Linked DNA regions of Cricetulus griseus. Each later gene encodes a partner of the first gene's protein in a complex. Links are inferred from orthologs where the notes say so. Each region holds a gene or a part of one and is shown in the gene's direction. Other genes may lie near its edges.

What was found.
Region 2: Sf3b2 (region 1) and Snrpd3 share a complex: the UniProt entries of both Homo sapiens proteins name them as parts of the minor spliceosome. The link is inferred for Cricetulus griseus from reciprocal best matches to the Homo sapiens genes SF3B2 and SNRPD3.
Region 3: Sf3b2 (region 1) and Snrpd2 share a complex: the UniProt entries of both Homo sapiens proteins name them as parts of the minor spliceosome. The link is inferred for Cricetulus griseus from reciprocal best matches to the Homo sapiens genes SF3B2 and SNRPD2.

What each region holds. Positions count from the first base shown.
Region 1 is NC_048596.1:54,019,910-54,023,653, forward strand, and holds the start of Sf3b2 (splicing factor 3B subunit 2), read left to right. Parts: upstream 1-1,177; 5' UTR 1,178-1,211; coding exon 1,212-1,344; intron 1,345-1,515; coding exon 1,516-1,562; intron 1,563-2,005; coding exon 2,006-2,083; intron 2,084-3,313; coding exon 3,314-3,553; intron 3,554-3,744. UniProt on the Homo sapiens protein: Component of the 17S U2 SnRNP complex of the spliceosome, a large ribonucleoprotein complex that removes introns from transcribed pre-mRNAs.
Region 2 is NW_023276806.1:263,063,506-263,067,249, reverse strand, and holds the start of Snrpd3 (small nuclear ribonucleoprotein Sm D3), read left to right. Parts: upstream 1-1,071; 5' UTR 1,072-1,225; intron 1,226-2,462; 5' UTR 2,463-2,478; coding exon 2,479-2,604; intron 2,605-3,744. Other genes in the region: protein GUCD1, read right to left, coding at 195-237. UniProt on the Homo sapiens protein: Plays a role in pre-mRNA splicing as a core component of the spliceosomal U1, U2, U4 and U5 small nuclear ribonucleoproteins (snRNPs), the building blocks of the spliceosome.
Region 3 is NC_048602.1:28,213,616-28,217,359, reverse strand, and holds the start of Snrpd2 (small nuclear ribonucleoprotein Sm D2), read left to right. Parts: upstream 1-948; 5' UTR 949-1,102; coding exon 1,103-1,104; intron 1,105-3,211; coding exon 3,212-3,391; intron 3,392-3,744. Other genes in the region: Qpctl (glutaminyl-peptide cyclotransferase-like protein), read right to left, coding at 170-379. UniProt on the Homo sapiens protein: Plays a role in pre-mRNA splicing as a core component of the spliceosomal U1, U2, U4 and U5 small nuclear ribonucleoproteins (snRNPs), the building blocks of the spliceosome.

The sequences.
Region 1 (3,744 bases):
AGGGATAGATCCCCCCCACACAATCATTTATTAGGTGGCTCCTGGATGCTAGATGCTTCATGATAGAAAAAGATCAAGTTCTTGCTCCTGTTTTGGGAATGGAGGTAGGAATAAAGGGTACGAAAGACTTAAAAATGAAACAGGACAGCTGGGCGCGGGTGGCACATGCCTTTGATCCCAGCTCTTGGAAGGCAGAGGCAGGCGGATCTCAAGTGAGTTCAAGGTCAGTCTGGTCTACAGAGCGAGTTCCAGGACAGACAGGACTGTTGCACAGAGAAACCCTGCCTCGAAAAAAAAACAAAAAAAACAAAAAGGGGCAATAGATTGGCTCACATTTGTAATACACTTACTTAAACAACGAAAACCTTGGGACTGGAGAGATGGCGTTAAGAGCACTTGTTGCTTTTGCAGAGGACCTGCAACCGTCTGTAACTCTAGTTCCAGGAGACACTCTTCTGGCCTCCACAGACATCAGGCATGCAAGTGGTGCACATTTCGTTTTGAAAACAAAAGGTGGAAAGTTGGGTGTGGTATGAAAGCTCCTAGAAAGGAGAGGAAACATTTGGCAGAGAAGGCATTTTCTTAAGCCTTTCTCGAATGTGGAAAAGGGATTTTGGTATCGCCCTTCCCCCAAGTCAGCAGCTGGAACTCAGCCCGGCGGGTCCGTTCCTCTACGGGCTCCGATCCCCTTTCAGCCCATTCAAGCACGCCTGGGCCGGGAGCGAGCAGGCAAACAATCGGACACTGTTTTATCAGAGGCATCGGCTCCAACCTCCCACTTGGCGGGCGCCGGAAAGCAGTCTCTATGAGCTCCTGGGTGGAATAAGCATCCAGGTACCTCATCACCGAGAGTGTCGGGTCAGAAGACTTAGTATGCGTTTGGGCAGGTGAGGAGAAGAAGAAAGGAACCAATGGGTGGAGGGCCGGGTCTTCTCAGGGCCCTAGCGGCGGATCTACCACAGGGTACGGGATGTTAAAACAAGCGTCCAGCCTCTAGGCGGTGCAACCGTAGACTACAACTCCCAGAAGGCCGTGCAGCCTTTGTTAGCGGCGAATCCTATCTCCCAGCGAAAGGCAGTGAGTGGGTGTCTGAATCAAGTGCTTTCCAATCACCGCGGGACGTGGCGGAGTGCTCTGCCGGAAGTTCCGGGAAGTAGGCCCGGTGGCTGATCCGAGCTTCCGTGTTGGTCGCGCGCCTTCTTGTGGCTAAGATGGCGGCGGAGCATCCAGAGCCTCCCAAAGGAGAATTGCAGTTGCCGCCGCCGCCACCTCCAGGCCACTATGGCGCCTGGGCTGCTCAGGAGCTTCAGGCCAAACTGGCGGAAATAGGAGCTCCGATCCAGGGTGAGGCTCCCGGGGCGGTCAAAGGGGGCTGCGTGGGCTTGCGGGGCAGTGGGACCTGGTTACCCAGGAGACTCACGGGCGGGGGGCGGAGACAGGCCTCTGGGGCCCGACCTGGCCAAGCCGGGCTGTTCCGGCTGGTGCTGACCCCGGATTCTGTGCTTGGTTCCGCAGGGAGTCGCGAGGAGCTGGTTGAGCGGCTGCAGACCTACACCCGCCAGGTGAGTTGTGGCAGGAGTTGAAGATTACTTTTCCTAGAGGCCTTTAAGATAGGCCACGGATCGGTCTTCGTTTCTTTTACATTTTTTTAAAAAGCTTTTAGGCGGGGTTTTACTGTGTACACCTGGTTGTCCTAGAACTCTCTCTCAGTAAACCAGGGTGGCCTGGAACTCAAGAGATCAGGCTGCTTCTGCCTGCCGAGTGCTCTGGGATTAAAGGTGTGCGCCTCCACGCCCGGCTGGGTCTTCGTTTCTTACGTACTTCATCGCGGCAAGTCGGGTCTTGACCGTTTTGTCAGTTTTTGCCTTTGCTTTATTGTAAAGGTTACAGCCCCAATCTCTGGCAAACGGGCATCGGGTGCACTTTGTTAAATAAATGGTGGAGGAGGCCGTGCAATGGAATAGTTCCCTCTTAGTCTGACACACAGTTCTCTTTTCTTTTGTAGACGGGCATTGTGCTGAATCGACCTGTTTTAAGGGGAGAAGATGGGGACAAAGCTGCTCCTCCTCCTATGTCAGCACAGGTAAGAGACTGTTTATCGGTCATTCTGTTCAGGATAACCTTTCTCCCATGCATTGCACTGGAGATAAGAATATAGTGAATTAAGGGTGGGGTCTGATGAGACAGAATTGGGGCCTTTTCACTTCTGGCTTTGTGCCGGTATTCATCAGTCCGCAATGTCTGCTCTTCTAAATTTGACCTGTCATTCAAGAGTCAACTTGAATACCTAGAATTCATACTTGGTTCTCTCCCAGTTGGATGTAGTCATGTGTTTTGTTATCAGGCATAGCTCCCAAAGTTATTCATTGACACTTTAAGGGGTAATGCTGTGATTTTTTTATTATATACCTCCTGCATTTAGTAATTCATTGACAGTCTGTGCCCTGGCACATTGGTTTCTATTTCTTTAAAAAAACATATTTAAAGTTTAGTGGTGGTGAACACCTTTAATCCCAGCACTTGGGAGGCAGAGGCAGGTGAATCTCTGAGTTTGAGGCCACCTTGGTCTACTGAGTGAGTTCCAGGACAGCCAGAACACAGAGAAATTGTATCTCAAAAATAGTATCTGTGTGTGTGTGTATATGTGTGTGTGTATATATGTGTGTATGTGAATATATACACATATTTATGCATATGAGTGTTTTGCCTGCGTGCATGTCTGTACACCATGTGCATGCAGCATTACAGGAGGCCATAAAGGGGCTTGGATCACCCTGGGGCTGGAGTTACAGAGGATTGTGAGCTGTTATCTGGATGCTGGGAATTGAACCCTGTGATTCAAGAGCAGTTCTTAACTGCTGGTCCAGTCTCTCCAGTACTGGTTCCTATTTGTTTAAGTTCCTTTGGAATCCAGTATTTGAGTGTCTTCCTCTAAACTAGTGGCTTTGGCCTGGGTGGGTGGGGTGTGTGTGTGTGTGTGTGTGTGTGTGTGTGTGTGTGTGTGTGTGTGTGTGTGTGTGTGTGTGTGTGTGTGTGTTTGTGTTTTGTTAAGTGCCTGTATAGACTTTAGAGGTGTTCTTGTATTTTCTTAAATTGAATGCAATTTCAGAGGACCCAATAGCTTTGTTTGATCAGTGTTCTAAAGTTAGCCTTTTCTTCTCTTGATTCTGCTATGGTGCATTTTCTTGAGTTCTGCATCACTAGACTTTGAATGCCTGGCTCTTTTGCTAGTTCCCTTTAGAACTTTAGCTAGAAAATGCTTCTAAAGTGAATAAATGCTTTCTAGTTCATAGCTATATATTTTTTTCCACAGCTGTCTGGGATTCCTATGCCGCCACCACCTATGGGACTCCCCCCTCTACAACCTCCTCCTCCACCTCCACCACCTCCACCAGGCCTTGGCCTTGGCTTTCCTATGGCTCACCCACCAAATTTGGGTCCCCCACCTCCTCTCCGAGTCGGTGAGCCTGTGGCATTATCAGAAGAGGAACGGCTGAAGCTGGCACAACAGCAGGCAGCTTTGCTGATGCAGCAAGAGGAACGTGCCAAACAGGTAGGACAGGTGGAAACCTTACCTAGGTCACCTTAGGTCCCTGATGGGGAAATGGAACCCCAGAAAGCTAGACCCGGAGGCTGTGCCTTTTAGGAAGGTCTTGGTTGAAGACCAAGACCTAGGTAACAGCTGGCAGAGAATCCTAGAAGCAAGAATTTTGGCAGATTGGCCTGGTTGTATTGTTGCTGGCA
Region 2 (3,744 bases), on another chromosome or scaffold:
CCGAGAAACAACCAGAAGCGGAGGACGGGAGACGAGAAGGAATATCCATCCACCTAGCTAAGGTCCACTGGAAGCTCCAGTCTGGGCTGAGGCCGCCTGCGGCCCAAGGTCGCGCGGCCAGACCCTGCCCAGCTCCAGGGCGGAGTCCCCCTCGGTTTCCCCGGTGAGGGCAAGGCCCTCTGAGAGGCACTGACCGGGCTCGAGCGGCTGCCCCGCTGCCTCTGCCTCCGTCCTCATGACCCGGGTGGCGCAGGGCGCCCATGGCCCCGGCCTGGAGCTGATCGCAGCTGCGACTTGTGCTGGGCAGCGAGCGCGGCCAGTGTGGGGAGAGTTCCGCCGCCGCCTCTCCTCCTCCTCCTCCTCCTCCTCCCGCCGCCGCCGCCACCGCCGCCCGCCGCCGCCGCCGCCTCCGCGGTTCAGAGCCGGGTGGGCGGGGGCTAGGCCGCCTCAAGCCCCGCCTCGTCCCTGCCAGGTCCCCGGCCTGGAGACCCGCCCCTCCCCTAGGCCACGCCTCCTCGCCCACCCACTTCTCTCCCATAAAGAGCGACCCGCAGGGCCCGCCTTCTGCGGAAGCCCCGCCCCTCCCGGGCCCCGCCCCCAGGCCCTTCCATAGCGACGTTGGCTCCTCCCAAACCCCCTCCGCTCGGCTTGCTCCTTTGCAGCCCCGGGTGTTAGCGCCGGCCCCTCGCAGTGCCTGCCTCATCGAAACGCCCCGGGAATCCTCCTCTGCCTCCCTTTCGGTCTTAGCCACACGATGAAAAATGCCAGTTTCCCACGCTCGGTGCGCCGCTTACCTGATGGCGACCAGATCCAAAGCTTAGATTCCTAGTCCAAGCCTCACTTCCTGTGGCACCACAGCAATTTTGGGGCTCCAGCCTAGCTCCCGCCCAATCCGTCCCTGGAGTACTTTGTAAGTGGGGGGGGGGTCTCCATGTTCCTTTTGGGGCTCGAGGACGGATGCTTCCGGCGGCCCCCCGGGTCCTCTCCAGGGCCGGAACGATAATGCCAGAGCCGTCGTTTTCCGAGCCGGCGGAGTTAAGGAGGAAGCATACGTCAGAGCGCTCTCGCCGCTGGGGAAAGGAAGAGGAGGGGCCCTGCGCGCGGTATCCTGGGAACGCGTGGTATTCTGGGTACCCCGGGCCCGCCATTCCCTCGCTTCACGCCTTCGCCGTGTAACGTTTGTGCCAGGGCCGAAAGGGAGCCGGTGAGGAGAGGCGGAGAACCGGTAAGAGGAGGCCTAGGCGTCCCCGGAGGGTTAGGGGCAGGAAGGGAGCCTGCGGAGGAGCTCAGCGGGGCACTAATGGCGGGCGGGAAGCCTGGGCCGATCCAAACACCGTCTCACCCGCGCTTGGAGCAGCTCCTCGTTTACGCCTGTCTGCGCGTTCTGTGCCTTTCCGGCTCGCCGATTTTCGGAGCTCGCCCGCAGTCGTTTCTCACGAAATACCCCCTTTCCCTGTGTGCCCTCCTTTTCAGCGTCCTCTGCATCCCTGCTCCCCTCGGATTCCGGCGCTGGCCCTCCCCTGCCTTCCACGACTGCTGCACGAGTCTTAGCGAGTCGCTGTGCTGCAGAAGGGCCATGTTCGAGCTATCCTGCAGATGCTGCTATTATTCCTTTTTGTTTTCTACTGAGCCTTTGGCAATGACCCTTTTGTGTCCCCCCCCCTCCACCGTTTTCAGCATAAAACTCACACTCCTTAAGTTGAAAGCCGTGGTTCCTCACCAAGAGAGACAGCGCCCAGCATCCTTATAGCCTTCTCATGGACATAGGTGGGAACGCTCATCACAGTTGCGCTTAGCCTCCGTCTTTTACTGAGGCTTAAATCGAGCGTCGACCCTGATGGTGCTCCTGTGAGCATTTCCTGTCACTTTGTGAACGCCTTGCTATCTTATCAGGGTCTATGTCTGCTGAGCACTTGGAATATTACTAGTGTGACTGGGAGGGGAGGGGCTTTTTAATTTATATTTCAGTTGAATAGCTACAGGTAAGCAGTGATTGCTTTTGAGGTCCATATCATAGTTCTTGGGTGACTATAAAGGGTCATGTGTTTGGGAATAGATAAGAGGCACTCTTCATTCCCACCAGCCTCTTCTGTCCAGCTTGCTTGCCATCCTTCCCAGCTCGAAGGCAGTGTGTCCTTGCCATGGTGGTTCCTTCAAACCAAGAGTCAGACTCCTTCCACAGAAAATGCAGCTTAGGCCGGGCGGTGGTGGTGGCTCACACCTTTAATCCCAGCACTCGTGAGGCAGAGGCAGGCGGATCTCTGTGAGTTTGAGGCCATCCTGGTCTACAAGAGCTAGTTCCAGGACAGCCTCCAAAGCCATAGAGAAACGCTGTCTCAGAATAAAAAAAAAAAAAGAAAGAAAGAAAGAAAGAAAATGCAGCTCTGACATATTTGCAAAGGGTATGGTATGCCAGTCCTTCTTAAGCTCTGAAAGACAGCTGTTGTCTCTCTCTTCCACAGGAACACTCCTGCCAAGATGTCTATCGGTGTGCCGATTAAAGTCTTGCACGAGGCTGAGGGCCACATCGTAACTTGTGAGACCAACACTGGCGAGGTGTATCGAGGGAAGCTCATTGAAGCAGAGGACAACATGAACTGCCAGGTACCTTGCTTTGCACCTGTGAAGGAACTGTGGGTGAAAGGTAATATCTCTGACTGCTCCAGGTCTAATACACATACCTTGGAGTTGTCATAGAGAGTTCAGATGGCTGTGTGTTCACAGTGGCCAGCTCAGTGCTTTGCGTGCAATAACTGGTGCCTGTTAACTGTATTCCACATGAGAAAAGTAAAGGTTGGAGAGGGAAAGTACATTATTTAGAATCACACCTGTGGGTCAGGTGGCCTGACTATTGCCTTTTAGGGTTTGCATTAGTTATTTCCTGTGGCTGTGATAACACACCATTAGAAGGGGTTTTTTTAGGCTTGCAATTACAAAGGAATGAGTCCATCGTGGAGGGGAGAAATGGTAATAGCAGGACGCTGAGTGCTTACATCTTCAATAGAAAGCTTGAAGTAATGAGAGCTACCTGGAAGTGTTGGAGGGTATTAATCTGAAAGCCTGCCTCCAGTGACATTCTTCCTTCAGCAAGGCTGCATCCCCTCATCCCACCCCCCCCAAAACAACCCACCAACACATGGGGGCCAAGTGTGCAAATGCCTGCAACTGTGGAGGATACTTTTCATTTAAACTACTGTAATTGTGCTGCTTAGTTTTTTTGTCAACTTGGTGCAAGTGAGAGTCACCTTAGAAAGGGGAACCTCAGTTGTGAAAATGCCTATCCTATAGGCAATTCTGTGGGGCATTTACTTGATTAGTGATTGATGGGTAAGTGCCCAGCTTATTAAGGGCTAAGCCACTTCTAGGCAGTTGTTTCTGGAATAAGAAAGGAAGCTGAAGGCTGAGCATGGTGGTGCACACGTTTAATCCCAAGACTAGGAGGCAGGGGCAGGTGGATTTCTGAGTTCCAGGAGAGCCAGAACTGTTTCACAGAGAAGCCCTGTCTCGATAAACAAAACAAAAAAGATGTATTTGTCTGTTTTAGGGCATTTAGTTTTGGGAGTAGAATGAAAGAATTTGGATAGTGACTATTAATATATTTAGTATGCTGCTCTAATTAATGAAACTTACCGAGGTGGGCTTCAAACAGCCCAACTATAACAGGAATTTGTCTGACTAGATTATGGTATTCTCAGAAGTGCAGCCCATGTGATGCAAAGACACAAATCTTAGTACATTATCAGG
Region 3 (3,744 bases), on another chromosome or scaffold:
CAGATGTCTTGGGGCGCGGAGCTCAGATCTGCCCGCGTTGCTAGGCTGACCGCCTGCATCTCCAGGACGGCGAGGCAGGGGCGTGCGCTTGCTTGAGTGATGGAGAAAGAGATGTCACCCGCTCGGCACGGGAAACGGAGGAGGGACCGGGGCCCCAGGCAGGCCTCACCCGCAGATCCCGGCTGCGTGACAGCTCCTGAACCTCGGGGTGCCAGCCGTTCCAGACCATGAAGAGCGCCAAGCCCAGGGCGAGCGCCAAGAGCAGCAGGGGCAGGAGCTGCACTCGCGGCAGCAGGCGGCGCTTGGAAAGCGAGGGCGGCTGCATCGCGCCGCGATCCCCGAGCCGCTGCCGGGGCCGCCCGCGGCTCCCGGGACTCATGGCAGCAGCGGGGCCCCGAAGCCGGTCGTCCCAGACTGAGGTTTGAGTCCAGGCCAGGCTCCGCCCCTCCCCCCTATCGCTTACGCAAGCCAATAGGGAAGCAGAGCGGCGGCGGCATCGTCGCGCAGACGGCCGCGATTGGCTCCTTCTTCTCCAGAAGGCGGTGCGCAGACCCGAGGGCCCGCCCCCCACGCAAGAGGCGCAGCCAATGAGTGGCGGCTGACCGTGCGGAAGCCGCGCCCGCCGCCCTCAGGTGTCCATCAAGGAGAAACGGGCGGCGCCCATCCCTGAAGCAAGGAGGCGATTGGCTCGCTCGAGGCCACGCCCCCCCAGGAGGAGGCGGGCGCCGCGCGCTTGGAAACGGAGCTGTGTGTCGTGTCCCCGCCTCCTCCCCGCCCCCGTTCTTCTTCCACCCAGACGGGGAGTTAATTCGAGCCAGGCCCGGCGGCTCCCCCTTTTTGTTTAGTCGCGAGCGGGGGGGTCCCCCTATTGTGATCCTCACTGACATGGAATCCTCCCTCCAGGCATTTCCTACGGCAGAGAGCCGCCGCCGGGTCGCTATGGCAACGTGACACGCCCACGCCGCTGGGGCGGGTTGCGCAGGCGCCGACGGAAGTGATCCCAGAGGAGGGAGGCGGAAGTCCCGCCTTCCGCTCGCTCTACTCCGGAGGCTACACGGCAACGCGGCGGAGGCGGGAGTGAGCTGCGATCGAAACCTCCACCATGTGAGGCCGGGCTGGGCTCCCGCGGGGACGCGAAGGTGGAGGGAGGGACGCGGGCGGCTTAGCAGGTGGACTGTCGGCTTGGGGTGCTCGTAGCGGGGGCAGAGGTTCCTCCTGAGGTGTTAGGGGACGGGCGTGGGGCCTGGAAGGACGGGTCTGGAGTTCCGGAGCCGGACAGCTTCTTCTTTCTTTTCTTTCTTTCTTTCTTTCTTTTTCTTTTTTTTTAAAGTTTATTTATTTATTCATCATGTAGACAGTGCGAGCCAGAAGAGGGCACCAGGTCCCATTATAGATGGTTGTGAGCCACCCTGTGGGTGCTGGGAATTGAACTCAGGACCCCTGGAAAAGCAGTCAGTGCTCTAACCTCTGAGCCATCTCTCCAGCCCCCCTCATTTTTATTTTTTAAAGATTTATTTATTTACTTACCATGTATACAGTGCGTGCCAGAAGAAGGCACCAGATCTGGCACCAGATCTCATTACGGATGGTTGTGAGCCACCATGTGGTTGCTGGCATTTGAACTCAGGACCTCTGGAAGAGCAGTCAGTGCTCTTAACCCCTAAGCCACCTCTCCAGCCCCCCTCATTTTTATTTTTAAAAGATTTACTTATTTATTTACTTACCATGTATACAGTGTGTGCCAGAAGAAAGCACCAGATCCCATTACAGATGGTTGTAAATCACCATGTGGTTATATTTATTTATTAACCATGTATACACTGCGTGCCAGAAGAGAGCACCAGGTCTCATTATAGATGGTTGTGAGCCACCATGTGGTTGCTGGGAATTGAACTCAGGACCTCTGGAAGAGCAGCCAGTGCTCTTAACCCCTGAGCCATCTCTCCAGCCCCGACAGCATAACGGGCGTGGGACCCTGCTCTGTACTGAGTCTTGTGAAAAGAGCTGTAAGAGGAAAGCTGAGCCTGGTGGCACATGCCCAAGAGAGGCTGAGTGAGGCAGGAGGATGGTGAATTCGCGCCCAGCCTTGGGCTGCACATGGAGACCGTTTCCAAAAGTAATAGTAATTTTAAATGGGAGCCGTAAATGGATAAAGGTCTCGGCAGGGGAAGGGAGTTCTATTAAAAAATAGTGAAAGGCTCTCCAAAAAAAACAAACAAGCAAAAATCATAATGAGGGACTTAACCAGGATAAGGTAGAAAACAGACAGGGGGGCTTTTTCAATCTGCCTGGAGACTCTCAGAGTAGCAAGCTACTGCCATGGTTTGATGTGTTTATTCACCAAGCAGGTGTTACACAGACTGGTTGTTAAGTTAGACACACGGTGTATAAAAGGTCCGTGCCACCGAGAGAAAGTTTTTCTCACTGGGGCTGGTAAAAGGAATGGGGTAGGAAGACCAGAGAACGTGTTAGATGATGGAGAGTGCGGATGAAGAAATTTGAGTAGCTACCACAAAAAAAAAAAAAAAAAAAAAAAGACTGAAAATGCAACACTGGGCTGGAGTTATAGCTCAGTGGGCAGAGTACATGGCTACCTTGGGTTCTGGGTATAGTGGCAGCATGCCTGTAATCCCAGAGGTCTGGAGGCAGAGATGGATAGTCTGAGTCTCAGGTCAGCCAGGGTTACACAGTAAGACATTGTTGTGGGGATGGCGGGCACCAGGAGAAAGGTAACGGAAGATTAGGCCATGGATAGAAATAGCCAGGTTCTGGATATGTCGTAGAGGCAGATGACAAGATGTGAGGGTAGATTTCCTTTAAGAGAGTGCCGGGCTTGATGTTGAACTCCTGTAATCCCAGAACTTGGGAGGTGGAGTCAGGAGAATTGAGAATTGAAGGTCGTCCTTAGTTATATAGCAAGTTCAAGGCTAACCTGGGCTATAGGAGATCCTGTCACCAAAACAGAAATCAATTAAACAGTAGAGTTCTAGCTTAGAGAACCCGCTGAATAGAGTTGCCATCAGTGAAGACGTGGGGAATGCGTGGGTGGGAGAGGTTTTGGTGGTTAGACAGCTGGAACGGGCTAAATAGACAATGTCTCTCCCACCTCTGAAAAGGACATTTGGGGACCAGGTTGAGGAGACACTGGACAGTGCCTTTGATCACTCACACTTCCAAGCTCACCCATCTCACCCGTGGTTTTTCTATTCAGGAGTCTCCTCAATAAACCCAAGAGTGAGATGACCCCAGAAGAGCTGCAGAAGCGGGAAGAGGAGGAATTCAACACTGGTCCCCTCTCGGTGCTCACACAGTCGGTCAAGAACAACACACAAGTGCTCATTAACTGTCGAAACAACAAAAAGCTCCTGGGACGGGTGAAGGCCTTTGATAGGTGAGCACTGAGTCTGAGGGGCCTGAAGGAAAGGTTATTCCAGAAGCATAATGATAGTAAGTTGGTGACAAACTCCTGTAATCTCAGCACTCAGAGGGATCACCATGATCATGTTAGAGGCCAGCCTCCAAAATAAAAAATCAGAAAGTGTGGGGTGCTCTTTTTGTTGTTTTTTTGTTTTATTTTGTTTTCCAAGACAGGGTTTCTCTGGCTTTGGAGGCTGTCCTGGAACTAGGTCTTGTAGACCAGGCTGGTCTCGAACTCACAGAGATCCACCTGCCTCTGCCTCCTGAGGGCTAAGATTAAAGGTGTGAGCCACCAACGCCCGGCTAAAATTTGTCTTATCTGTCTAT